Arabidopsis thaliana: one gene and its partners. The protein of the gene in region 2 purifies or fractionates together with the protein of the main gene of each other region. This does not show direct contact. Each region holds a gene or a part of one and is shown on either strand. Other genes may lie near its edges. The genes, in order: MKK5, HDA15, CPK20 and CDPK6.

Evidence for each region.
Region 1: the proteins of HDA15 (region 2) and MKK5 purify together in Arabidopsis thaliana (affinity purification with mass spectrometry, with the first as the bait; one study listed by BioGRID). This does not show direct contact.
Region 3: the proteins of HDA15 (region 2) and CPK20 purify together in Arabidopsis thaliana (affinity purification with mass spectrometry, with the first as the bait; one study listed by BioGRID). This does not show direct contact.
Region 4: the proteins of HDA15 (region 2) and CDPK6 purify together in Arabidopsis thaliana (affinity purification with mass spectrometry, with the first as the bait; one study listed by BioGRID). This does not show direct contact.

Annotation. Positions count from the first base shown.
Region 1 is NC_003074.8:7,443,728-7,449,015, reverse strand, and holds MKK5 (MAP kinase kinase 5), read right to left. Parts: upstream 3,413-5,288; 5' UTR 3,100-3,412; coding exon 2,053-3,099; 3' UTR 1,029-2,052; intron 977-1,028; downstream 1-976. Other genes in the region: 4CL5 (4-coumarate:CoA ligase 5), read left to right, coding at 1-85, 179-392, 472-574, 666-785; AT3G21215 (RNA-binding (RRM/RBD/RNP motifs) family protein), read left to right, coding at 3,785-3,955, 4,279-4,458, 4,538-4,613, 4,811-4,940, 5,057-5,171. UniProt on the Arabidopsis thaliana protein: Mitogen-activated protein kinase kinase (MAPKK) which regulates abscisic acid (ABA) responses in a MAPKKK20-MKK5-MPK6 cascade involved in root growth (e.g. root cell division and elongation) and stomatal response, probably via MAPK6 activation by protein phosphorylation.
Region 2 is NC_003074.8:6,359,648-6,366,135, reverse strand, and holds HDA15 (histone deacetylase 15), read right to left. Parts: upstream 4,961-6,488; 5' UTR 4,842-4,960; intron 4,584-4,841; 5' UTR 4,532-4,583; coding exon 4,397-4,531; intron 4,303-4,396; coding exon 4,117-4,302; intron 3,990-4,116; coding exon 3,887-3,989; intron 3,771-3,886; coding exon 3,706-3,770; intron 3,567-3,705; coding exon 3,491-3,566; intron 3,172-3,490; coding exon 3,107-3,171; intron 3,005-3,106; coding exon 2,949-3,004; intron 2,785-2,948; coding exon 2,661-2,784; intron 2,551-2,660; coding exon 2,425-2,550; intron 2,309-2,424; coding exon 2,258-2,308; intron 2,145-2,257; coding exon 2,076-2,144; intron 1,858-2,075; coding exon 1,749-1,857; intron 1,606-1,748; coding exon 1,526-1,605; intron 1,424-1,525; coding exon 1,341-1,423; coding exon of another isoform or gene 1,313-1,340; exon of another isoform or gene 1,260-1,312; coding exon 1,214-1,259; exon of another isoform or gene 1,133-1,213; coding exon 954-1,132; coding exon of another isoform or gene 950-953; exon of another isoform or gene 879-949; coding exon 737-878; 3' UTR 521-736; and 1 more. Other genes in the region: RTFL20 (ROTUNDIFOLIA like 20), read right to left, coding at 5,840-6,001. UniProt on the Arabidopsis thaliana protein: Responsible for the deacetylation of lysine residues on the N-terminal part of the core histones (H2A, H2B, H3 and H4).
Region 3 is NC_003071.7:16,244,367-16,249,728, forward strand, and holds CPK20 (calcium-dependent protein kinase 20), read right to left. Parts: upstream 3,490-5,362; 5' UTR 3,118-3,489; coding exon 2,253-3,117; intron 2,173-2,252; coding exon 2,029-2,172; intron 1,950-2,028; coding exon 1,797-1,949; intron 1,709-1,796; coding exon 1,593-1,708; intron 1,512-1,592; coding exon 1,344-1,511; intron 1,250-1,343; coding exon 1,025-1,249; intron 929-1,024; coding exon 848-928; 3' UTR 540-847; downstream 1-539. Other genes in the region: AT2G38905 (Low temperature and salt responsive protein family), read right to left, coding at 26-106; AT2G38920 (SPX (SYG1/Pho81/XPR1) domain-containing protein / zinc finger (C3HC4-type RING finger) protein-like protein), read right to left, coding at 4,054-4,159, 4,461-4,519, 4,620-4,757, 4,853-5,104, 5,200-5,362.
Region 4 is NC_003075.7:12,324,215-12,329,444, forward strand, and holds CDPK6 (calcium-dependent protein kinase 6), read right to left. Parts: upstream 3,438-5,230; 5' UTR 3,202-3,437; coding exon 2,792-3,201; intron 2,548-2,791; coding exon 2,261-2,547; intron 2,182-2,260; coding exon 2,038-2,181; intron 1,947-2,037; coding exon 1,794-1,946; intron 1,704-1,793; coding exon 1,588-1,703; intron 1,487-1,587; coding exon 1,319-1,486; intron 1,251-1,318; coding exon 1,123-1,250; intron 1,036-1,122; coding exon 936-1,035; intron 837-935; coding exon 753-836; 3' UTR 544-752; downstream 1-543. Other genes in the region: TRH1 (Potassium transporter family protein), read right to left, coding at 75-77; PPT1 (polyprenyltransferase 1), read right to left, coding at 3,872-3,941, 4,035-4,131, 4,223-4,358, 4,648-4,713, 4,822-4,971, 5,058-5,127. UniProt on the Arabidopsis thaliana protein: May play a role in signal transduction pathways that involve calcium as a second messenger. Functions in abscisic acid (ABA) regulation of guard cell S-type anion- and Ca(2+)-permeable channels and stomatal closure.

The DNA of each region.
Region 1 (5,288 bases), 1.1 Mb from region 2:
AAAGTGGTCGATACCGAAACCGGAATCTCCTTGCCGCGCAACAAATCTGGCGAGATCTGCGTCCGAGGTCATCAGCTCATGAAAGGTAAAAAGGGTCAAACGATCAAGCTATGTCCCTTCTTTTTTTTCCTTTGGGAGAATAAACATTGATAGGGAAAACATGGTGCAATGTTGTTAGGTTATTTGAATGATCCGGAAGCTACTGCACGAACCATAGACAAAGACGGGTGGTTACATACAGGAGATATTGGGTTTGTGGATGATGATGATGAGATCTTCATTGTTGATCGGTTGAAGGAACTGATCAAATTCAAAGGCTACCAAGTGGCTCCAGCTGAGCTTGAAGCATTGCTTATTTCTCATCCTTCTATCGATGATGCCGCAGTTGTTGCGTGAGTTCAAAACAAATCTGAAACTTCCAAACTGAGACACTAAAATGGTTGTTGTCTCTAATGATATTTGAATTTTCAGAATGAAGGATGAAGTAGCTGATGAGGTTCCAGTAGCATTTGTAGCAAGATCTCAAGGGTCTCAGTTAACTGAAGATGATGTCAAGAGTTACGTAAACAAACAGGTACGAATTCGCTTTCGGTTTTTCAATGCGAAACACACACAAGATGGAAAACTGTCTATGTCTTAAATCAATGGTGTGATGGTTTATATAGGTGGTTCACTACAAGCGGATTAAGATGGTGTTTTTCATAGAAGTTATACCAAAAGCAGTTTCGGGCAAGATTCTGAGGAAGGATCTGCGAGCTAAATTGGAAACCATGTGCTCTAAATAGACACAAGAGAGTTTCAAATGTATGTGTAAATTCGAACATTATAGTCTCTAAGAAGTAAGGAGTAAGAAGCAAGTATTTGGTATTTGATTTGGTTTTCACGAGATCAATCATGTAAAGTCAACAAATCTAGGAAACCTAAAGCTAAGCTACCCTCAGAAACATAAATTCATTTCCTATAATCATCATTTCACTATTTTCTTAAGAAGAATTATAAATTTAGAGAATTAAGGAACAGAAACATACCCACAAAAGCGACAATGAGAAGTGATTACGCTGGGTAGACTTATGTACTGGGACACACACTCAAAGTTATCCTCCTCTGCAAGCTGAATGCTTCAAGTATTCAGGTGAATCAATCAGCACAAACTTCAGCAAACCTGCAGAGAAAGACGTGGCCCAGCCGCCCAGCGGAAAGGTCTAATGTGGTTAGAAGTCAAGACCAATAGGACACTTGAGAGCTAGATTCCTAGCCATAAGGTAGACTTTTTTGAGTAGATGCTGAAGAACCTAGAATCTGACCTGGACAGTTGAGAGTTACATTCCTAATCACACTAAAACATCAAGGCAATTTGACGGATACTGAACACAAAACCATTGGGAGAGAGAGAGAGAGAGAGAGAGAGAGAACGAGAAGCAGAAACAAGGTGAATAGCTGATGTTTACATGCATGATGCATGCTCAAAGATGGAACCAAATGAAAGCTTTCTGAATTTGACCAATTGCAAGAGCATCACATGATTTCGTTCAAACAAAAGTTCCTAAACAAGCTTTCAACTTTTACCGCAATAATTAGACCATAACTGGCAAAGAAAAAATAACGCAGTAGGCACTAGGGTAGCCTTTGTAATGTTCACAAGACGGAAACTAGAAAACCATAAAGAGAATTAAAGGAAGAAGCTTTATTAATGAGAATTATCCAATGAAAGATCCTCCATTTACTTCCTTATATAAACAATAATATAAGCAAATCCAGCTAAAATCACTCTTAAACCATAAGAATTCTTCTTGTCTATTTTTTTGTTTCCATTTCTAGCAAAACATTCTTCATTACCCATAAGACAAATCAAGCTTAGCAGCATAAGATAAAGACTCAATAAACCCTAACCACAAACTGAGTTTCTTCCTGACGACTCATACCCCAATCACAAACCACATTGTTCTTCTACTCTTCTCATTATCTTTGCTTGGGGTATGCAAAACTTATGGAAAAATGTCAGGAAAAACTACGAAAAATTGAAAAACAAGAAAGACGAAAATGGTAGAAACACTAAGAGGCAGAAGGAAGAGGACGAGGCGGCGGCAACATTTGACGGAGATTAGGACCACCGGTAGCTTTAAGTATGAAAGGATGCTGCAAAAGCTGTTGAGCTGACCATCTCTTAGGAGGATCACTCTGTAAACAACAAGAAACAAAGTGACGAAACTCCTGAGACGCCGTAGCCGGAGCTTCAGGTGGCTGAGACATACAAATAGCACACATAAGACTAGCCCAATCACCTTGTCTACTCACAGCAAAAGGAAACCTCCCCAAGTAAAACTCCAAGATACTAACACCTAAACTCCAAACATCTCCAGCATAACCATCGTAACGACCATGATTCAAATCAGTATTAATCCTCTCAGGACTCATATAAGCAATAGTACCAACAGATGAATTACAAGGATCCATTGTTTGTGCCAAGATCCTACTCACACCAAAATCAGCAATTTTCACATTTTTAGCTGAGTTTATAAGAAGATTCGAAGGTTTGATATCACGATGAACGATATGACGACGATGAAGATAAGCTAATCCACTAAGAATCTGACGAGAGAGATCAGCTAATTCCTGTTCTTGCCATATATGAGCTCCTTCAAGAGATCCTTGATCCATAAACTCAAGCAAAACCTGGATCTCACCGTTATGATCAAACATATCGTGACATTTCACAACGTTTGGATGATCAACACTTCTTAAGATCTCGATCTCTCTACAGATCTGACGTCTCACGGTATCTTCGTGGTTTCCGTAAATCACTTTGAGAGCGAAAGGACGTGACGTCGGAGTGTGGATTACTTTGTAAACCGTTCCTCCGGCTCCGCTTCCGATTCGGTTCACTCGTTCTAGCTCGGATAAGCTTTTAGCGGCGGAGATGTTGGTTGAGATCGCGGAGGAAGACGCCGGAGCGGATGAAGAGGAAGAAGGAGGTGGGAGAGGGAGAGGTACGGCGAGAGCGACGTCGCGGTGTGGGAGTGGTAAGCTTAGGTCAGGACGTTTGCGTAAACGGTTCTTCATAGGTGAAGCTACTCCAGAAGGAGATTGAATCGGTTTCATGGCTTTTAGAAGAAGAGGGAATCAAAAGTTTTTTTTTTTTTTCACAAGGTTGATTCTTTATCTTCCAGGTTTGTATTTATCATCATGATTGACTTGACTCTAGGGTTTGTTTGATTCGTCGTTTTTCAAAGAGATCAAATCAAGAGGAGAATGAAGCTTCATCGAAGAGATTTGTGAAAATGATTGTAAGAAACAAGAAAAAAAAAAAAAGTTAAAATGGTAAGACGAAGGTACGCGTTGATGGAAAGAGCGTGGAATACACTCGCACTTGTGTGGCTCTGTGTTGTTACACGTTAACCATGTTTTTTGTTTGGTCGGGTCTGAATTGGATTATAATATCATTAAGAGTGTTTAAGATCGTGGATTTAGATACTATAAATTTGGTGTTAGGTATTTAATATTTTTAGAAAGTAAGAAAATACAGATTAAAGTTTCTTTCCAATAAAAACAATTGAAAAAAGAAAAACTTAAAGTAATTATAATTCTAAAAAAATTAAAAACTAATTTTCTTTTTAAAGTTTTTAACAGAAAAAGAAAGAAATAAAATTAAAGTGGTACAGTGTTCACGTGCGATGCATGTGACTTAAAAAATAAGTTTGCCTTCTTTGCCGTCAATTCTTCCGCAGAAGTTTTTTCGAACAATCAATCTCTGACTCTCTGAGTAATTAGGTTTTTTTTTTATCTCATGGCCGGCGCCGGAATCCACCCATACCACCAGCAGTGGCCGCCGGCAGGTGCGCCGCCTCCTCCAGCCGCAGTATCATCAGCTGCTCCACCACATCCGCCGCCCATTCATCACCATCCTCCTCCTCCTCCTGTTTTAGTTGACAACCATAATCGTCCTCCTTATGACGAGGTTCAACTCTTTCTCTTTCTCTCTATACATATCGGTGATTCTTGTGCTGTGTTGTCGAGATGGGCTTGCTTGATTTTTGTTTACGTTGAGGTTTTAATTTGCCTGCTTTTTGATATACAATGTTAGCTTGATTTTGCTACGGAATCGATAAATTGTCCAAAGTTATGACCTTTTTGATAAGAATGATTTTTAAGTTTGTTACTAAAATCTCACTTATGACCTGTTGCATAAGTGAGAAAGGTTCTCTTATCTTGTCATGTAGTTGGAGTTTTCTGATTTTGGGAAAACGTGATCTCTTACACAAGTTTGAATCTGTTGTTCAGCTGCGGACAATCTTCATCGCAGGGCTTCCCGATGATGTAAAAGAGAGAGAGCTTTTGAATCTCTTGAGATGGTTGCCTGGTTACGAGGCTTCTCAGGTGAACTTCAAGGGAGAAAAGCCCATGGGGTTTGCTCTTTTCTCCACAGCTCAGTTTGCAATGGCAGCCAAAGATACCCTTCAGGTCTGTCTGCTTCTGATCATTGTTGACTCAGATCCTTTTTTGTCTTCACATTATGACATATGTTGTTCTTGGCATGCAGCATATGGTGTTTGATGCTGAGTCAAAGTCTGTGATACATACAGAGATGGCCAAGAAGAATCTTTTTGTTAAAAGAGGTTAGCTCTACCTTTATGACATAAAATGGCTGTATTTTATCTATCTTAAGCATTAGTCATGTTACTGAAGCATGTTTGATACAGTTTTGTGCATTTATACGGGGTCTCACTACACTCTCCCCTTTATCTAGTTTCTTACTTCCTTTGTTAATATCACAAACCATATATAACCTTTGAACTCAATCTTTATTCTGTAGGTATTGTTGGGGATTCAAATGCTTATGATCAAAGTAAGCGCCTACGAACTGGTGGTGACTGCACACACTCTGTGTATAGTCCATCTCCTTTCCATCCTCCACCTCCTCCTGTGTGGGGACCTCCTCATGGGTTAGGCATTTGCTTCTCCTTCATATTTCATATGCTGTGTAGAAATTGGACGATGTGTATTTGGTACACCGTTTTATGTTAAGTTGCTTATTTGACAAGAAGATAAATTGGTTCAGATATATGGCACCTGCACCTCCACCATATGATCCCTATGCAGGTTATCATGCTCCCCCTGTACCAATGCCTACGCCCCCACCTATAGCAGCTCCTAGTTCTTATGTGCCTGTCCAGGTGAAGTTGCACTGTTTTCATCATTTTATTTATCATATGGTGGTTGTGCAATTATATACCCGGAATCCATATTGTACTTGCCTCTCCTTGCCTAAAAATTACAATCTCGAACTTCAT
Region 2 (6,488 bases):
AGATTCAAATTCTCTTAGAAAACAAACATATGATTAAATAAAATGTGGTTGATTTACAAAAATTCAGCTAGTTCATAATCGAAATTAACCGATAGCCCCTCTATCTACCTAAAATCAGAAAGAATTAATCTGAATCGAAGCGATTATTCGAAAGTTCTTATTTAATAGAGCTGGACTAATATTCTTAGCCGAACAGTGCCAAAATTTTGGTAATTAGATTTGGTTCAAAATACCGACAAAACTGTTTTGTTTGGTTTTGGAAGATTGAACATATCCGTATTTAGAAGCTCTTTTAGTTTTTCATAAATTTCTAAATATTCTTAAATTCTTCTACTTTTTTCTTTTTTGTAAATCAAATTTCCTAGCCGTATCAAACTGTGTCAAATATACTGAAATTGATTGAAATATACCAAAACCAAAAAGAATATACCGGAATTATTGGAAAATGAGGATTTTGGACACCGAGAAATGAACAAGAAATTTGTTTTTGGTTTGGTTCGACATCAATAATTTTAAGATAAACCAAACCGAACTATAAATTTGGTTAAAGTAGGAATTCGTTTATCCAAACCGATTGCCTAGCTTAAGAGGTCTGATGAGGATGGTTGGTAAGCAGGTTAAAAGGGTTCTTTCTATAAAACCCTACCAAATGTAAGTGATAAAGATTGTTCAGAGCTCCCTAATTGCAATAAATTCCCCCAGATCAGTTAGGGTTACAAGTAAGTGTAGACAATTCCTACGACGGATTAGGAAGAATGCTTTCTAAAATCACTTTGATCTTGAAATCATACGAGCCGAGAGAAAGTTGTACAAAAGCTTCTTTCGTCCCCATTTCCACCATGTCGGAACCCGAACAACCTTCCTTTTCATCTGATTTTCTGTAAAACCAGTGAGATTTTATTAGGAGAAAGAAGGATGAAGAATGAAATAGTTTTTTTTTTGGGAAGCATCACTCACTTTTGTTTTCGATCAGACGTGCTTCCAACTCTGAGAGTAATTTGGAGTAGCTGATAGCAAGTGATGGCCAGAACTCCAGTTGGATATTCAGTACATCAAGAACAGTTTGCAGGCCGGCTACTGAAGGCGTGGTGGCGATGGGCAACTCGTTCTCCGGATTTTCACCCAGAAGCACCTTTATAGATTAAGCGGGATCATGAATCTCCATAACTATATGCAGATTTTAAAGGATATCAAGTTTGAAATAGAGACTAACCTTGATCACTGCTGTTGCAGAAGCAGATATGGAGCGAAGATTGTAGCTGCAAATGAAAACAGGAGATTATTCAAAAGCTGCTCCTTACAAACCAAGAGGCTACTCCAAAAAACTGCAAAACACATACCCGCCCTCGAGAATAACTAGCATTTTCCCACCACACAGATCACCCAACATCTGTGTCATTCGAGAATAGCCAGCCGGAGTCACCTGAAAAAAGGAGTAGAACAGAACATCTATCCTCTGTTGATATCCACAAAACAATACACTGATTCCAGAAGTGGTAAATTACAGCTCGAATATGAAGCTTACATCACAGCATCCTAGTGGGTCTCCTCTAGCCGCATCAAATCCCGCAGATATGATGACAAAATCTGGAGAAAATGCAGAAGCTGCAAGAGAAGGTTCCAGTTAAAATTAGACTGAGTGCACATTCAAAAGTGAGCTAAATGTATTTGGTCCACTTCCTGAGCATATTAGTCATCAATTAAGCCAAAACGTTTATCAAATGGGGAAAAGTAGAACGACTCTGTACCTATGGGGAGAACCACATGTTGAAACGCAAAGATATAGTCTTTATCCCCAACTCCACCGCAACTCCATGGAACATTTACACAATAACCTTCCCCACCATTAGAACCAACCTGCACCCATAATTAACATTAGCAAACTATTGTTCTGCCGCCTAGAGAAAATTCAAATTTTGGAAACAAGGCAGAAATTAGAAAATAATCCCAAAATTTAAGACATAAATCATAATGCAAACCAAACACACAAATAAGGTATATGCATATATATACCAACAACTAAATCTACTCATGAATGCTGGATGAGACAATGTAAAACAGAAAAGCATAGGTACCTCATCAGCAGCTCCAGTACCGGGATAGAAGTTTCCTCCCTCATGTCTGTGCAAGGATATGTACAATACCTATGCAATGACTCCCAGTAATAAGTTCAAACAAGGTCAACTCACAAAAATAATTTACTGCATCCAACACTCCAAAATTGATGTGCAGACATGCATAGATTTGGGCAGCTTACAGATTTGTTTTGTTCGAATATCTCTTGGGTTCCGTTGCCATGATGGACATCCTGCAACGGTAGATATAACATTGATATGAGCCAAACCACACAATGCAGAGTACAACGAATTAAAAAAGTTTGAAGATCTACAAAATCACCCAGTTTAGAGTTATCAGTAACATTACCCAGTCCACAATCAGCACCTTCTTTGCCCCTGCTGCTTGTGCTACTAATGCAGCAACGGCTGCATTATTGTGAAGGCAAAACCCCATAGCATGCCTGACGCCAGCATGATGACCGGGAGGTCTAACCTGATACAATCAGAGATTTTTTTTTTTCAAACTAATATGGTGTAATTTCAATTTAAAGCAATTGTGTAGTTGCATCTTTAAATTTAAAAATTTTGGTGAATTAGACATACCAAAGCAAAACCATTTTTTACACGGCCAGTGAAAATATCTGTAGCTAGATCAGCGCACAAACCTGCTGCAAGTCTAGCAGCACGTGCTGAATACTCATTAGCATATGTGTCAGAGGTGAAGTAGCTGCCAGACAATGGTAAAAGAACGGGATCAAGAGCAAAAAGAGATAAATGAGGAGCAGCGAAGGTAAAGGAAATTTCAATTCAAGTTTGAACAGTCAGATTAACAAGCAAGGATATGCACGGTGAACGCAAAAAAAAAAGTAACAAATGGTTTAAAATTCAAACCTATAGAGAAGCTGGCTTGTAGTATCAACAGCATCAACATGCTCTGAAGTGTGGACCTCAAAATTGACATATACAAACCAGTTATGAAATTGCTTGTAAAAGTACTGCAATGAACATAATATTAGAATTGTCTCTAAGACAGTTATGTAGCAGCTCACCATCTGGAGTTCTTGTTTCGTGATTTCCCTTGCATTGATAGGCAAGCATCTTCCAGGAAAAACACCTGCAAAAAAATTCAAACGTGGTGAGTACCAAAATTACTCCCAACAGTATGATACTGTAAAATGAAACACATGATATGATATATGGGATCAAGTCTCAGAGAAGGTAGACAAGGACGCTAGAAGCTTCTTAATTGAAGAAGTTATGTTCTGATCTTTTCCTTTTAGAATTAGAATTTTATTATTTTCCTTTTTAGTTTTAACTTACCTCGGCTGCAAGAGATCTATATAATGATCTCCAAATCTTAATAATAATCAGCTTCCAAACATTAGTCTTCTTCTCAAGAGAGGCTAGGTTTAAAGGAAGTAAACGCAACATACCAGCTGTGGCAAGACTAGCAGCTATAGCTCGAAGACGATCAGGTCTCTCTGGATGTGGTTGTGCCTTCACTTCAAACTTTTTAAGCATGCCATCAGCACATATTAAATAGAAAAACTTGCACGAAGAAAAGCTTTGGAGATGATAATGTAGAGATGTCAACAGATACTAGAGGTTTCTCAGGAAAACATAACACATAACAGTAACAAGATCATACTTCTGAGTGTAGCAACATTCTCTCGTCGAACCCAACAGCTGTCGAGCTGGTTGCAGATGAGCTTCCTAATATCAAGTTAAAAGAAAAGTGAACATGCTTACAGTTACTTAAATAGCATGGAACTGAGACTAACAATATTTATAAAGACATTTTCAGAGGAAGCAAGGGAAGTAATTCCTACCTCCATATTTCTCCTCGACTTCAATGAGACCAGTGTCTTTAAAAAAGGGAGACGCTAAATATCCATGCCTCAAAATGCCAGATTCCTTGTGCTCACCGCATATCTACGTCAAGGAATCAACTTTACTAATACATAACCAATGTCCAATGCGCATTGCTCAGACGTACGTTTGTCACTTTGAAATCATAAAAAGTAGTAGCCAAGCAAGAAAAAGTAAATAAAAAACGTACACAACAGTGGACCATATCACCAGGGTTCGACATAGTGCAATTGACACAACACCATTTTACAAACTCCATAGGCGCCTGCACAGGTTCCCAATCACAATCATCATCCTCATCATCGTCATCATTGAGTAATGCATCAGCACCGTAAATATCTTCAAACGTCATTTCTCTAGAAACCCTAGCTCTTTTCTGCATAAGACACAACAATGACCAATATCACCAAAAGCAGAACCAACCAAATCTCTGACAATACATTAAAAGGAAGCCATGGTTTTTAGCTTACCGCTGAAACTCCAGGAGCTACATTTATATCTCCATTGCTACACTCTTCTCCCGAACAAGGAACAGCGATATCTCCACCGTTCACATGTCTTCTCTTTGAACCCTCACAAGACCTCTCGATAGTTTCTACAACCATTGTTACCTCAGTAGTCACTCAAAACTACTAACCAGCTGAAAATAAATCTCCGCTGTGCCAAAAGAGAAACAAAGAAAAACCCAATTTGAGAAATTTTAAAAATCAAAAAGTTTCATATACGAAGAGCTAAAATCAAAATCGAAGAAAATGTAAAGAACTCCACACACAGCTACAACAAATAACTTTACGAAGAACCCAACTTTTCTTCGAGTATTATCGAAATCGATCCTCGATCCAGAACTCAGGAATTGTTTTTTTTTCTCTATGGAAACTGAATAAAAATATCAACGACGGTCTCAAAATATCATACCTGAAGAAAACTTCCGGCGAAACGATGAACAGAGAAGGCTGCGTCCGTCGCGTTTAAAGGAGCGCGACGCTACGATAGCACAACAGAGCAGAAATGAGAGAAACGACGACGGCGACAACGAAGATGACGACGTTCAGACTTGAAAGAGTAAAAGATTATTTGGGCTGAAGATGAAGACCCAATAACACTATAAGCCCATTACCAAATTTGAGTCAAACTATTTATTTTTATTTCCTTTTGCTTGGAATTTTTCATTAATGTTCAAGTATTGAAAGAGCAAAGTACGACTGAATCTTACTTCACAAAGCCAATTTAGGTTTGTTGTCTTCTCGAAATGGATTACAAAAGTTACCATTTTTTAAAGGGAATGAGACTTTAGTTGTTATGTCATTGAATTTTTGTTTGGTAAATAACCTAACTGATAACTTCATAATATTTATAGTGAAAAATGTTTGAATCATCAGGTAATTAAACGTCACACTACAGATTGTAGAATGACTAATGGTTAAACTAACTGATAATGACCAGCTAACATAATCAAAATACGCCCAAGCGCATTAACACATGTGAGACTGATATTTGTTTCCCTTACCTTTTTCTTTTACCTTAACCTAATTCTAACTGTAAGTACTGAATCCAATTTCTTTGTTATATAATACATGTTTGTGTGCATGCATCTCCATATAGTACTCAAAAGCATCGTCTTTGTCTTTTCTCTAAGAATTTATTATTCATACATTAATATTAATTCTACAAACATGGGACTATGGGAGATAGTATTCCGTTATATATATAGTTCACAAGAAGAATATTGAGTGATATATTTCCATATATAACAACGACGACGACAACAAGAACACACCCACATAAAATGAGAGATGAACACCGAAATGTTAAAGATGTAAATATGTTGAGCTCTCTCTCCTTTTTATACCTCTATCATCATCTATACCTATACATGATAACATAAATATGTATGAAAAAATGTGTGTTGACTATCACTTGTGTGAACAAAGAAGCATAGTAATACATTTTCCAATAATGTAGAACCTTCCTTTCTTCTTTTTCAGAAACTCTCCAACTCCTTTTGGTGAAGAAGGCTTGTTCTTCTTCTTCTCCCAATTCTTCACTGCTTCCTCCTTTGTGTACTTCTCCCTCATTGTTTAAAGTGTGTTTATAAAACAAACTTTTTTGTTTTTCCTTATTATCAGGGATTCAGGGTGATTGTGTGATGATTGTGTGATGTTTAAATGGAAGTGAAGATTCATCATATTATATATATTGGAGTGAGAGAGAAAGAGATAAGGAGAAAGTATTCCCTACCATTGATTCGGGACCCTTCAACGAAACAACCCAAAAATAAAGGCCACTTTGTGAAGTGTGACCGACTAGCTTCCCATTATGGTTGAAAATATTTGATGTATTGTTTTCTTGTCTCCTTTCAGTTCAAAGATTCATCATCGGTAGAGATTGATTTATTCACTTTGATTATTGGAATATTATGTTAGAACATACGGTATTGCAGACCGTCCATATCTCATCTTAATTTCTTTGAATTTAAATTGAACATGCAAACTAACGTTATGGTTAACTGCTAAATAAATACATAAAATGCAAATTCCAAGGAGCTTTCGGGTTTGTTTTGAA
Region 3 (5,362 bases), on a different chromosome or scaffold from region 2:
AGTAAAGATGTAATTTAGTGCTTACCCCACAACCATATCGAAGGAAAACGCCGACGGGAGGTAGAAGAATCGCCAGAATAATTTCCAAGAAAGTTTCTGATCCCATTTTTGATGTTTTGGAGAAGAAGAGAAACAGAAACAGAAACAAGAAAGAGAGGTTTTGTGGACAGAAGGGAAGTGGTGTGAAAGTTTGGTCAAGAAGTAAAAGAAGTGGTGTTTGACACGTGTACTGCTTGCAGTGTATCACGTGACACGTGGAGACGCTTTCGTAGCGATGAACACGTCAAACAAACTGCTTTACTTCAAAACTGCTTCCACTAATTCCACGGAAATCTCACAGATATTTTCAATTTCTCCTTTTTTGAGAGGCCAAGAAGATAACATTTTAATGTTTATGATTCGAATCTGTTTACTCCATCCCCTCTTTTCAAAGAATTTTTAGTTTTATTGTGAAAAGATTAATAATTTATCACTCACTAGATTTACATATTAAAATCGATATTGTGTAATAATTTACATAAACATTTTCAATAATTTCTAGAGTTTTACATTGACCTACTAAAAGTACATATAAGAAAAATGAAATTACAATCTTTGGTTATCTTCCAAAGTGAAACCTATACATTTTTTCTCCTAGTTGAGTAAAGGGAGAGTTAAAGGACATGACTCATGAGAAACTTAAATACAAAAAAAATGTGGAACAGAGAGGACAAAAACCTGCTCAAGAATGCTAATGCTAAGCAGTAAGCAGCCCATATACATATATCCACAAAGATTAAATTATACTTAAAAAGAGAAAAGAAAAAATAAGTGTTGGAAAAAATGGGGTCATTGAGGTTTTGTTTCTTCAACTCACCTTTAAACCCATTTTGCCAAAACCAGTGTCTTGCATCATATCCACAAACTCGCTGTAGTCTATTCTTCCATCCTGACAAAAACAATCATATAACATCATTATAAAGAACAATGTTCTTGCAAGTAACTATAGGTAAAGCATATCAATTGCATATTAATGAGTTGTTACGTTGTCTTTATCGACTTCGCGTAAAATGTCGTCTAAATGAACATCCGCTAAGCCAAATTGCTTGCAAGCTTGTTGGAGCTCGTCTCTGGTTATATAACCACTTCCATCTTGGTCAAAGTAAGAGAATGCTGTGAACAAATGGTCTTCTTTCTCTATTTTGTTCAAATGCACCATTGCTGCTATAAACTCTCCATAGTCTATTGTCCCACTGTTATCTATATCCGCCTGATCAAATGTTCATATTTTTCCAAATTATTATCTCACACATCTCACATCATATAGTAAACAAAAGGTGATTTCAGTATAAAAATGGACTTACTGCTTGCATTAATCCTAGTATTTCTGAATCTTTAAGGTCAGCACCAACTCTGTCCAAACCTTTCTTGAGTTCTTCGAGAGTGATGTGTCCACTATTATCTGTATCTATCATCTTGAACATTTCCTTCAATCCTGCTATTTCTTCCTCTGACAAGCTTTCTGCTATTACCTGAATCAAATACATCACGTATAACTCTCTATCTTGCACATAATTTGGTATAGATGATAGAAACCAATTCAAAATGTTTACCTTGATAGCTATTTTCTTGAGCTTGTTCATGGCTGAAAATTGTTGCAAACGACTTAGGACAGCAGAATCAAGAGGTTTATCAAGAGCAACACCATCTACTCTGGCCCATGGATGACCTAAAATATAAATTCAACATTTTACAAATCTTTATAGTACTTACTCTTATCAAAAAGATATAACTTATTTGGAAACAAGAACACTAACAGAGAACTTCATGAGTAGTCATTCGCTTCTTAGGGTCTCTGATTAGCATCCGACGGACCAAATCCTTGGCACTTTCTGATACACTAGGCCATGGTTCTGATATAAAATCAAGGTCACCTTTCAAAACCTGCTCAAAGATCCCCTGTTCCGTTTCTGACATATAAGCACAATCCAATCAGTCTCTTTATCACTTCAACATACCTGAAACAATGAATCAACAACTGTCTCTTACCATCCCAAAACGGAGGGACGCCACTTAGTAAAATGTAAATAATAACTCCGGCACTCCAAACATCACATTCATGACTATAATGTTTCCTTAAAACTTCTGGTGCCACATAATAAGGACTACCAACGACATCAGTGAATGTTTCTCCTGTAATCACCAACATATATAGTCAAGATCATATTGTATATGGGATCTGTTAAAAGTAGCATTGGGGACATATACTATACCTGGTTTAAAGAAAACAGAGAGGCCAAAATCAATAGTCTTGAGAGCAGCTTCTTCATCTCCACTAACAAATAAAAAATTCTCAGGCTTAAGATCACGGTGCATTACACCTAAAGAATGACAAGCTTCTATAACACCAACAATGATCCTAGCAAGCTCAGCAGCTTTTTTCTCAGTATAATGCCCTCTCTGTATAATCCTATCAAATAACTCTCCACCTGCACAAATCTCCATCACAACATGAACAGCTACTGCATCTTCATACGCACCAACGATCTGAATCACGTTTGGATGACCAGACAAATGATGCATTATCTGAATCTCTCTTCTCACATCTTCAACATCCTCAGGTGTTGTTAATTTCCTCTTAGCTATCGTTTTACAAGCGAACTCTTTACCTGTCTTCTTATCCACGCAAAGAAACGTTGTTCCAAATTGTCCTTGACCTAATTTTCTCCCAACACTGTATATATCTTTGAGATTCTCTGTTTTTCTCCCAAGAACTGAGTCTATTTGTAGACCTGCGCTTGCCATACGTTTCATGTGCGCTTCTTTCTTCTGCGGTTTCGAATTCGGATCTTCTTTGTTCTCTGTGATAGGTTTTGGTGGTGGTTCTTCGTTGGCCATTTTCACCGGAGGTGGTGGTGTGCTCGGTGTTGGCAACGTGGATGGTGCTGGATCCACGGTGGAGGAAACGTGACCGTTACTGTCGTCGCCATTAACGCTTTTATCGTTCTTTTTTCGACTGCTCTCGTCCTTGCTGCTCTTAATGCTATCGTCTGGTTTCTGATTCCGCCACACGGCAGCACTAACGGATTGAAGGAATCCATTAGGGTTCAGATTCGGACCCACGCATGTGTTTCCCATTCAAAAAATTTAACCTAAAATCACAAAACCTAATTTTGCTTCTTTTTTTTTCTTCTCTCTGTTTGAGATTATCTATTACTTCTCCGACAATGAAAACACGAACCACTCATTAGCGTCATCAACGTGAATGATGAATCCATATAGAATATTGCCGTGTCTTCAAAATCGACACAGCTCGGTGAAAACCTGAGATAATGAATTGACCACCTAAGTCGCTCGCAAGCAACCTTGTTCTGCACGTTTTCCGGATACAAAATGGTCGAGAAACGTCTTGGAATTGTAAAATGTGGCTAAATGATTTGATTCGGAGAAGATCTGATGAGCTGATGATCAGAGGAGGGGAAGAAGGAACGAGAGAGAACAAGGAAAGGACTATGCCATTGCCGTCCATTTTTACGAGAAAATATGGAAAGTTTTTTTACAGAGCCCAATTTTAGACTAGGACTCACTTTTATCAAAAACAATTTCTTTTTGTCTTTTAATTTTTAACAATTAATTAATTTTTTTGAAAAAATATATAACGTTGAGTGATTATATTGTAGGGAATTAACTGCGAAGGATTTAGTTAATAAATATTTTGATTGAAGAAAATATACAATAAGAAGAAATTTTGTTTATCTAAAGTAAAATTCTGAAACTTGTGATGTATATAGACATGAACTGATGAACGTGTGTAATCTATTGACTTGTCTTTTAAACAATTAATAAGGAACAACATCCAATAACATCTTAAACAACACAAAAAAGTATTTAAACACAACTCGATTTATGTCTCACCAAAGAAAAAAAATAAAATAAACCTCTCCTAATTATGATTCTCTCTCGAATCTGTAATGTCTCGGGCACGGCAGAAACAAATAAAAGTAATATATCTTTTTTTTTGTCATCACCTTTTGTTTAGATGAAGTTAATAATTGAACTTGAAGAGATACACCATTAATAACCGATCATATGCTTCGTCTGTTCATTCCAAAACATCTTCGACTGCTTCACCATCTCAGACCGTTCATTCATCATCCTCTCCTTCCAATATTCTTTGCTTCTACAAAAAAATATATTATGCTTTCATCATATGACATTAATAATTCTTGCAATATAAATACAGTTTGAACAATATATACCACCCCAAGAATATATTCAGATGTTTATGAAAGGCTCACTCATAACGACTTCAAAACTTAAAAAAAAAATTAAGAACAAAAATTCGATCGCAACTTCATTTTCTAGTTACTTAACGAATGAAAACACCATCTTGCTATATGAATGATAATAATCATCAGTTCAAATTTTATGGACACATCTATACTGATTTGGTGCAATCTAAAATTTGAGACTTGTCTTACCGTGTCTTTAAAAGAAGATGCAGCTCGATCATGTGAACTGCTTCCGCGTAAACTCCAGCCTGATACCGCAAGGAATAAATCAAGATTGACCTCATTATAGATATTGGAAACAAAAGTTGAGAGAAGAACACGTTTAATGTTGCAAGAATCTAAACAAACCTCTCTGCAGATGGGACATTTTGAATGTCGGGGCGCTGCTTTAATGCCTTGGAAAATCAATACAGAAGCAGCCGAGCATGCACACGAGTTACAAAATATGTGACCGCACTTTAAAGCATAGGGATTGAATACCGTTTCCTGCCCAAATTTATCCACAACAAATTACTATTTTCACCTCCAGATATGCAAACTACATTTTATTTGTGAAAAAATGCAAAGAGATTTTTTATTACGAGGCAGATTGCACAAGTTAGATCATACTCCAGCTCTATTGAGTTAGGCAGCATGAGTTTTAGCACTGGTTGATCTTCGTTGAGATTTTCACAAGCGACACGGCCAAACGAATTCTTGAAGTTTCCAACATTATCTAGCCCAGAGTTGAGATAAAAGGCTCCAAGTTCTATGAGCCATGGTGAGTGCAAGAGCTCTATGCGCTCCGCTCGCATTTTCAACTTGAAATTCTTCCCATTCTCTGAGCTATGCACCTGAAAGCATTTTTAAGCAGTTTACTTTCTCACAACAAATGAAGTCACATCTTCTTATTTTAAAATGAATTATTATCTTTGCCATAATCTCTAACCTTGTCATATTTCTTGAGGATTTTACGGATAGCAATTGCATTCATGGTGATGTATTGAATCAAGATTTGGCCCTCTTGGACTAAAGCTTGTTTTTCGTCAGTGAAGCATCTGCGTAGGCGAATCATGTATCTCTGCATCCCAGTGGCTACATGAAGATGGAGA
Region 4 (5,230 bases), on a different chromosome or scaffold from region 2:
CCGCAGGAGTAGCAATAAGGAATCTAGGGGTTTAAGATTTCCGACGTATCGGTCGAGAGAAGGGAGCGACATACCATGATTCAAGCCGCCGGCGAGTAAGATGCGGCGTAGCTTGGATCTTCAACGATCAGAGATTACACGCCGGAGACTAGTTCTTTGGAATCGGAATCGAATCTAGAGAAAAACGATCAACGATCATTTGTTGTTTTTATTATCGAGAGAAGAAAAATTTAACAAATTCGATCCAAAGCTCGCGGTCCTTCTTCTTCTTCCAGTTTTTTTTTTATATATATCTCAGTTGATTTTTTATTCGTTCTTTTAATTTTTTTTACTCATTTTAGTTGTCCGATTTCTCTGTGAGAAAATGTCACCAAGATTATTAGATTTCGTCATTTTTCATGTATAAAAATCGGATTTGAAACTTCTAATCCCTCCTACTGCACCTTGCTTATTTTTTTATTGCCTTGATTAGATATAATCTCAAATTTGTTTGTAAGGGTTAAGATTATCATTCTATAATTTTTTAAGTGAATTTCAGCTTCAAATCATGCAAGAATCAACCTGTAATTATTATATATTGAATCTCTCATAAGTCATTAACCAAACCTGCAAATGGCTTTCTGATCTCAAAGTATTTTTTATGTTGTGTTGATAAAAAGAGATTGCAGGAAACAAAATAATTGATTGTAACAGAAACACAAAGTTTGAGTAAAGTGATAACCAAAAACAAACAAACAACATCAAAAGATCTCTCACATTCTGCGTCGGTTTGGCACCAATTCTGGATTTCCCTTCTTCATCATCGCTACAAATTCTTCGTAGTTGATTTTTCCGTCCTAAAGATTCGAATACAAAGATGAGAAGAGAGTGTTAAACTTACACGTATACTTACAGATGTATGAATTGGACGAAACCAGAGATTTACGTATACTTACACGATCGGTGTCTACTTCAGCAATGATCTCTTTGATGGATTTATCATCACCCATGTTGTATTTCTTCATGGCTAGCTCTAGCTCTTCCATTGTTATGTAGCTAATATCACAAATCAAGATCAAAGAGTGAGACTTTATTTATAGCTTGTTAAAGAAAGAAATAGAGAGCTAAAGAACAATGTTTTACCCGCTGTTGTCATTGTCAAAGAACTGGAATGCGGTGTACAAGTGATCCTCACGTTCGATTCTGTTCATATGCATTGTGGCTGATATAAACTCCAAGTAATCAATTGATCCATCTCCATCCATATCAGCCTAAAAGAAACAAAGCATCATAAGCATTATTGCTTTGACATCAAAGTAGTGGATTGTGATAGACTTACTGCTTCCATTAACTGCCTTATTTCAGCTTCAGAGATCTTTGAACCAAGTTTTGGGAGACCGGTTCTCAATTCCTCCAAGGTGACTATTCCATTGTTATCAGTGTCTAGAGATTTGAACATCTCTTTAAGACCAATGATTTCTTCTTCAGAAAGGTTCTCAGCGATAACCTGAAATTGCAAAACGAAAACCAAAGATTGGCTTTAGAACAAGAAGACTACATAAACTACAATAGTGATGGTAAGACTGTTTCAATCAGTGTTTTAATTACCTTCAGGGCCATTTTTTTTAGTTTGTTCATCGCCCGGAATTGTTTCATCCTGGATAACACCGCATTGTCAAGCGGTTTGTCTGATGCCTCCCCATCTTCTCTAATCCACGGATGATCTGCGTATGTATCAAAACGTTATTAAAATTGGATAAAAGAAGGTGTTTTCATCAATTTATTCATCAAAACATGTTATAAAGGGGTCTTACTTAGCACTTCCGCAGCTGTAAGCCGATCTTTAGGGTCATATTTTAACATTTTCCTCACAAGATCTTTGGCACCATCTGATAGTGCTGGCCATGGATCAGCTGAAAAATCAAGTTGCCCTTGAAGAATGGCATCAAAGATCCCCGTTTCATTTTCTGCACAACAGAAAGAACGTGACTATACATTCCAGTCCAACATTTAAACAGTGAAACCAAATTCTCTTCTCAAATAAGATCAAGACAATACCTCCCCAGAAAGGCGGAACACCACTGAGAAGGATGTATAGAATCACACCAGCACTCCAGATATCAGCCTCTGGTCCATAGTTCCGTTTTAGAACTTCTGGGGCAACATAGTATGCACTTCCAACAAGATCCTTAAACTTATCACCTGCATTAATGGATCAACTTCATTAGAGGGATAAATTGTCTATAGAAATCAAATAGGGAAGGATAGAGGCTGTTCAAACCTGGCTTGAAGAAGACAGAGAGACCAAAGTCTGTAGCTTTCAATGGTGAGTTCTCATCTTTACTAAGAAAGAGAAAGTTTTCGGGCTTCAAGTCTCGGTGCATTACACCCATAGAATGACAACTATGCACAACCATCACCATCTGCCTACACAAATCCGCAGCAGCTCTCTCTGAGTAAAGACCTTTAGAAATGATCCTATCGAACAATTCCCCTCCTTCACACAACTCCATTATCAGATTCACAGAGTGTCTGTCCTCGTAGGCTCCCTTCAAGTCCACTATGTTCCTATAATCAACTCACCAATTTGAAACTCAGGTAAATATAAATATGCAAAAAGGGAAACTTTTTCAAGAGTTTAACATAGGACCACCAAACTTTTCATCCACATATGATGCAAACCATTCATTAATATAGAAAACGAATCCTATGTCTAAATATTCACCAATATTCCAACAAAAGGCGTTTCAGATTCGATTTCGGAAAATGTCAAAGAAGCATTTTCCAGTGAGATACAAAAAAAGAGATTTACCGGTGACCGCTGAGATGGTGCATAATCTGGACTTCACGGCGAACATCTTCAATGTCGTCTTTGTGAACAAGGCGGCGCGTAGGGATTGACTTGCAAGCGACCTGTTGTTTCGTCTCTTTGTGAGTTACGAGGTACGTGACACCAAACTGGCCACGACCAAGCTCACGACCAAACTCATAGGTTCTCCGTACTTCCTCCATCGGCCGACCTAAGATCCGACCATTCTGCTGAGTAGATGTGGTGGAACGAGATCCGCCTGTTCCGGAGCCTGACGATCCGACGGTTCCGGAACCGGATGATCCGCGGCGTTCTCCGGCAGGTTTAACATGGTGGACTACGTTGCCGGAGGAAGAGGAGGAGGAGGACGGTGGCGGATCGGAGGATTTGGACTTGCTGTGTCTGTGGCCCATTGTCAAAAGCTTTCTCTCAGTCAATAAAGTCAATCGAGAGAGAAAGATTGTATCTCCGATTCTTATGGCTTTTTAATGTCTGAGATCAGACACGATGACCACGTGGCGTGTTTTTATTGGTACGTAGTTGAACCGCGTATAAACAAAAGTATTTGTCCCATTGGAAGATAAATTAGTGGATGTGGAAATCTTCTGCATATTAGTTGTTTCCACTTCTCCAATCAATCACACGGCTAATTCAATGTTAATCTTTTGCAATTTGAGATTGAAAAAGGAAAAGTTATTAACATCCTTTAGGTTACAAAATCAATGATATTGCGTATGTCAACTATAAAAGCCAAAAGTAAAGCCTCTTGTTTGACCAGAAGGTCATGATCATTGTATACATACAGCCAAACTACCTCCTGGAAGAAAAGACATGGATCCCAAACAACAACAATAGCTTCTTTTACAAGAACCAGTAGTAACTAGTCACTAATCTAAAAGAGTTAAGTTTCAGCTTTTCTGGCAATGGCTCCTTGATCATTTCAATCCTGAAGGAGACCCACTTTGTAGCAAGACCATGTCCTCTGTTTCACTTACAGTGTGTCTCAAAAGTCTACTTCAATTCTTCATATATAGGTTCCTCACACTACAGCTTCATCCTCATTCGTTGACAGAGAGAGAGTCTTTATTGAAAACTTCTTCCAAGTACAACTCCACTAAATATAATAGCACCAAACCACTTGTTCGACACAAATCTGTACAGATATAAAAACACTATTAGGTTTTCCAAGGCAAATCACATAATTGGATTGTGAAAGAGTACAAAAGATAAACCCAAATTTTCATACTTTCTACTGCAGTCAGCACCAGATGATAAGTCAGCTGTCCCTATTTGCCATCCTAACTGTCCTGATGCAGCGGCCAGTGATGCGTAATATTGCCACCCTTAATCATTAGAGCGAGAAACAAAAAGAATCAAAAGACAGTAAATGGAATTAGGAATCACAAATGAGTCCTTGTAAAGTTTATTGAGTACCGAGATCTGCACTGAATCCAGAAAGTGCAAGAAAACCTATGGATGCTGTGCCAAATCCAGTTAACCAAAGCTTTGTATTATCACCGAATCTAAGGGCTGTTGACTTAACACCAACTTTTACATCATCTTCTTTGTCCTGGAGACACAATATATTAGACATTAGTCCATGGAAAAAAAATGATTTAACCTAGAATATCTCAAAATTACTTGCATAAAAACTGAACTTGAGCTGAAATTTTGGGTTCGTAGCTTGTGGCATATACTATTTCATTTTCAATGGGCCACAAAGGTAACTTTCTTTTCTCACTTCTGTTGCAAACGGGAAGACTTTTATGGGGCTAACTCTTCACTTAAAGTATAGAAATCAGATGGAAAAGGTGGGAGATCAGGGTAATTTTCTTCTTTATGATTGACAAAAGTCGAACATCGAAATGGATGCATTTGCATGAGACATGAAACAAAAGCTGAAAAAGAAATCTGTGGTGGTGAAGCTAGAAAAAGAAAACAAAGCAAGCAATATGCACACATTGAGATTAACTACTTTGCTACTGGTCATAATCAAATAGATTTTGAAGCTAAAAAATAAAAAGTGAATATACCTGATGTGCATAAATAGTATCATAAACAAGGGTCCAGCAGACTCCGGAGAGATAGAGAGGGAGTACAATAGATGGTGCTATGCTTCCTTTAACTGCAGTCCATCCTAACAATGCTCCCCAGTTTATGGTCAAACCTAAAAAGGCTTGAGGCTGCAATTATAAAAACGAATCAATCATAAGAAAATCAGAAAATATATAATGTCTAACTTTGAGAAGCCAGAATAGATTTAAATTACCCAAAATGTAAACCTCTTCATAAGTGGGTAGGAAAAGACAAGTAACAAAGATGAAGCCCCTAAAACACGGCTGCAGAATATACATACTGAAATGAGCTCAAGTAGAAAAGAATTTGATCACAAAACTAAAGACAAGACCTGAGAACATATCTTCAGAATTTGGGCCAACTACA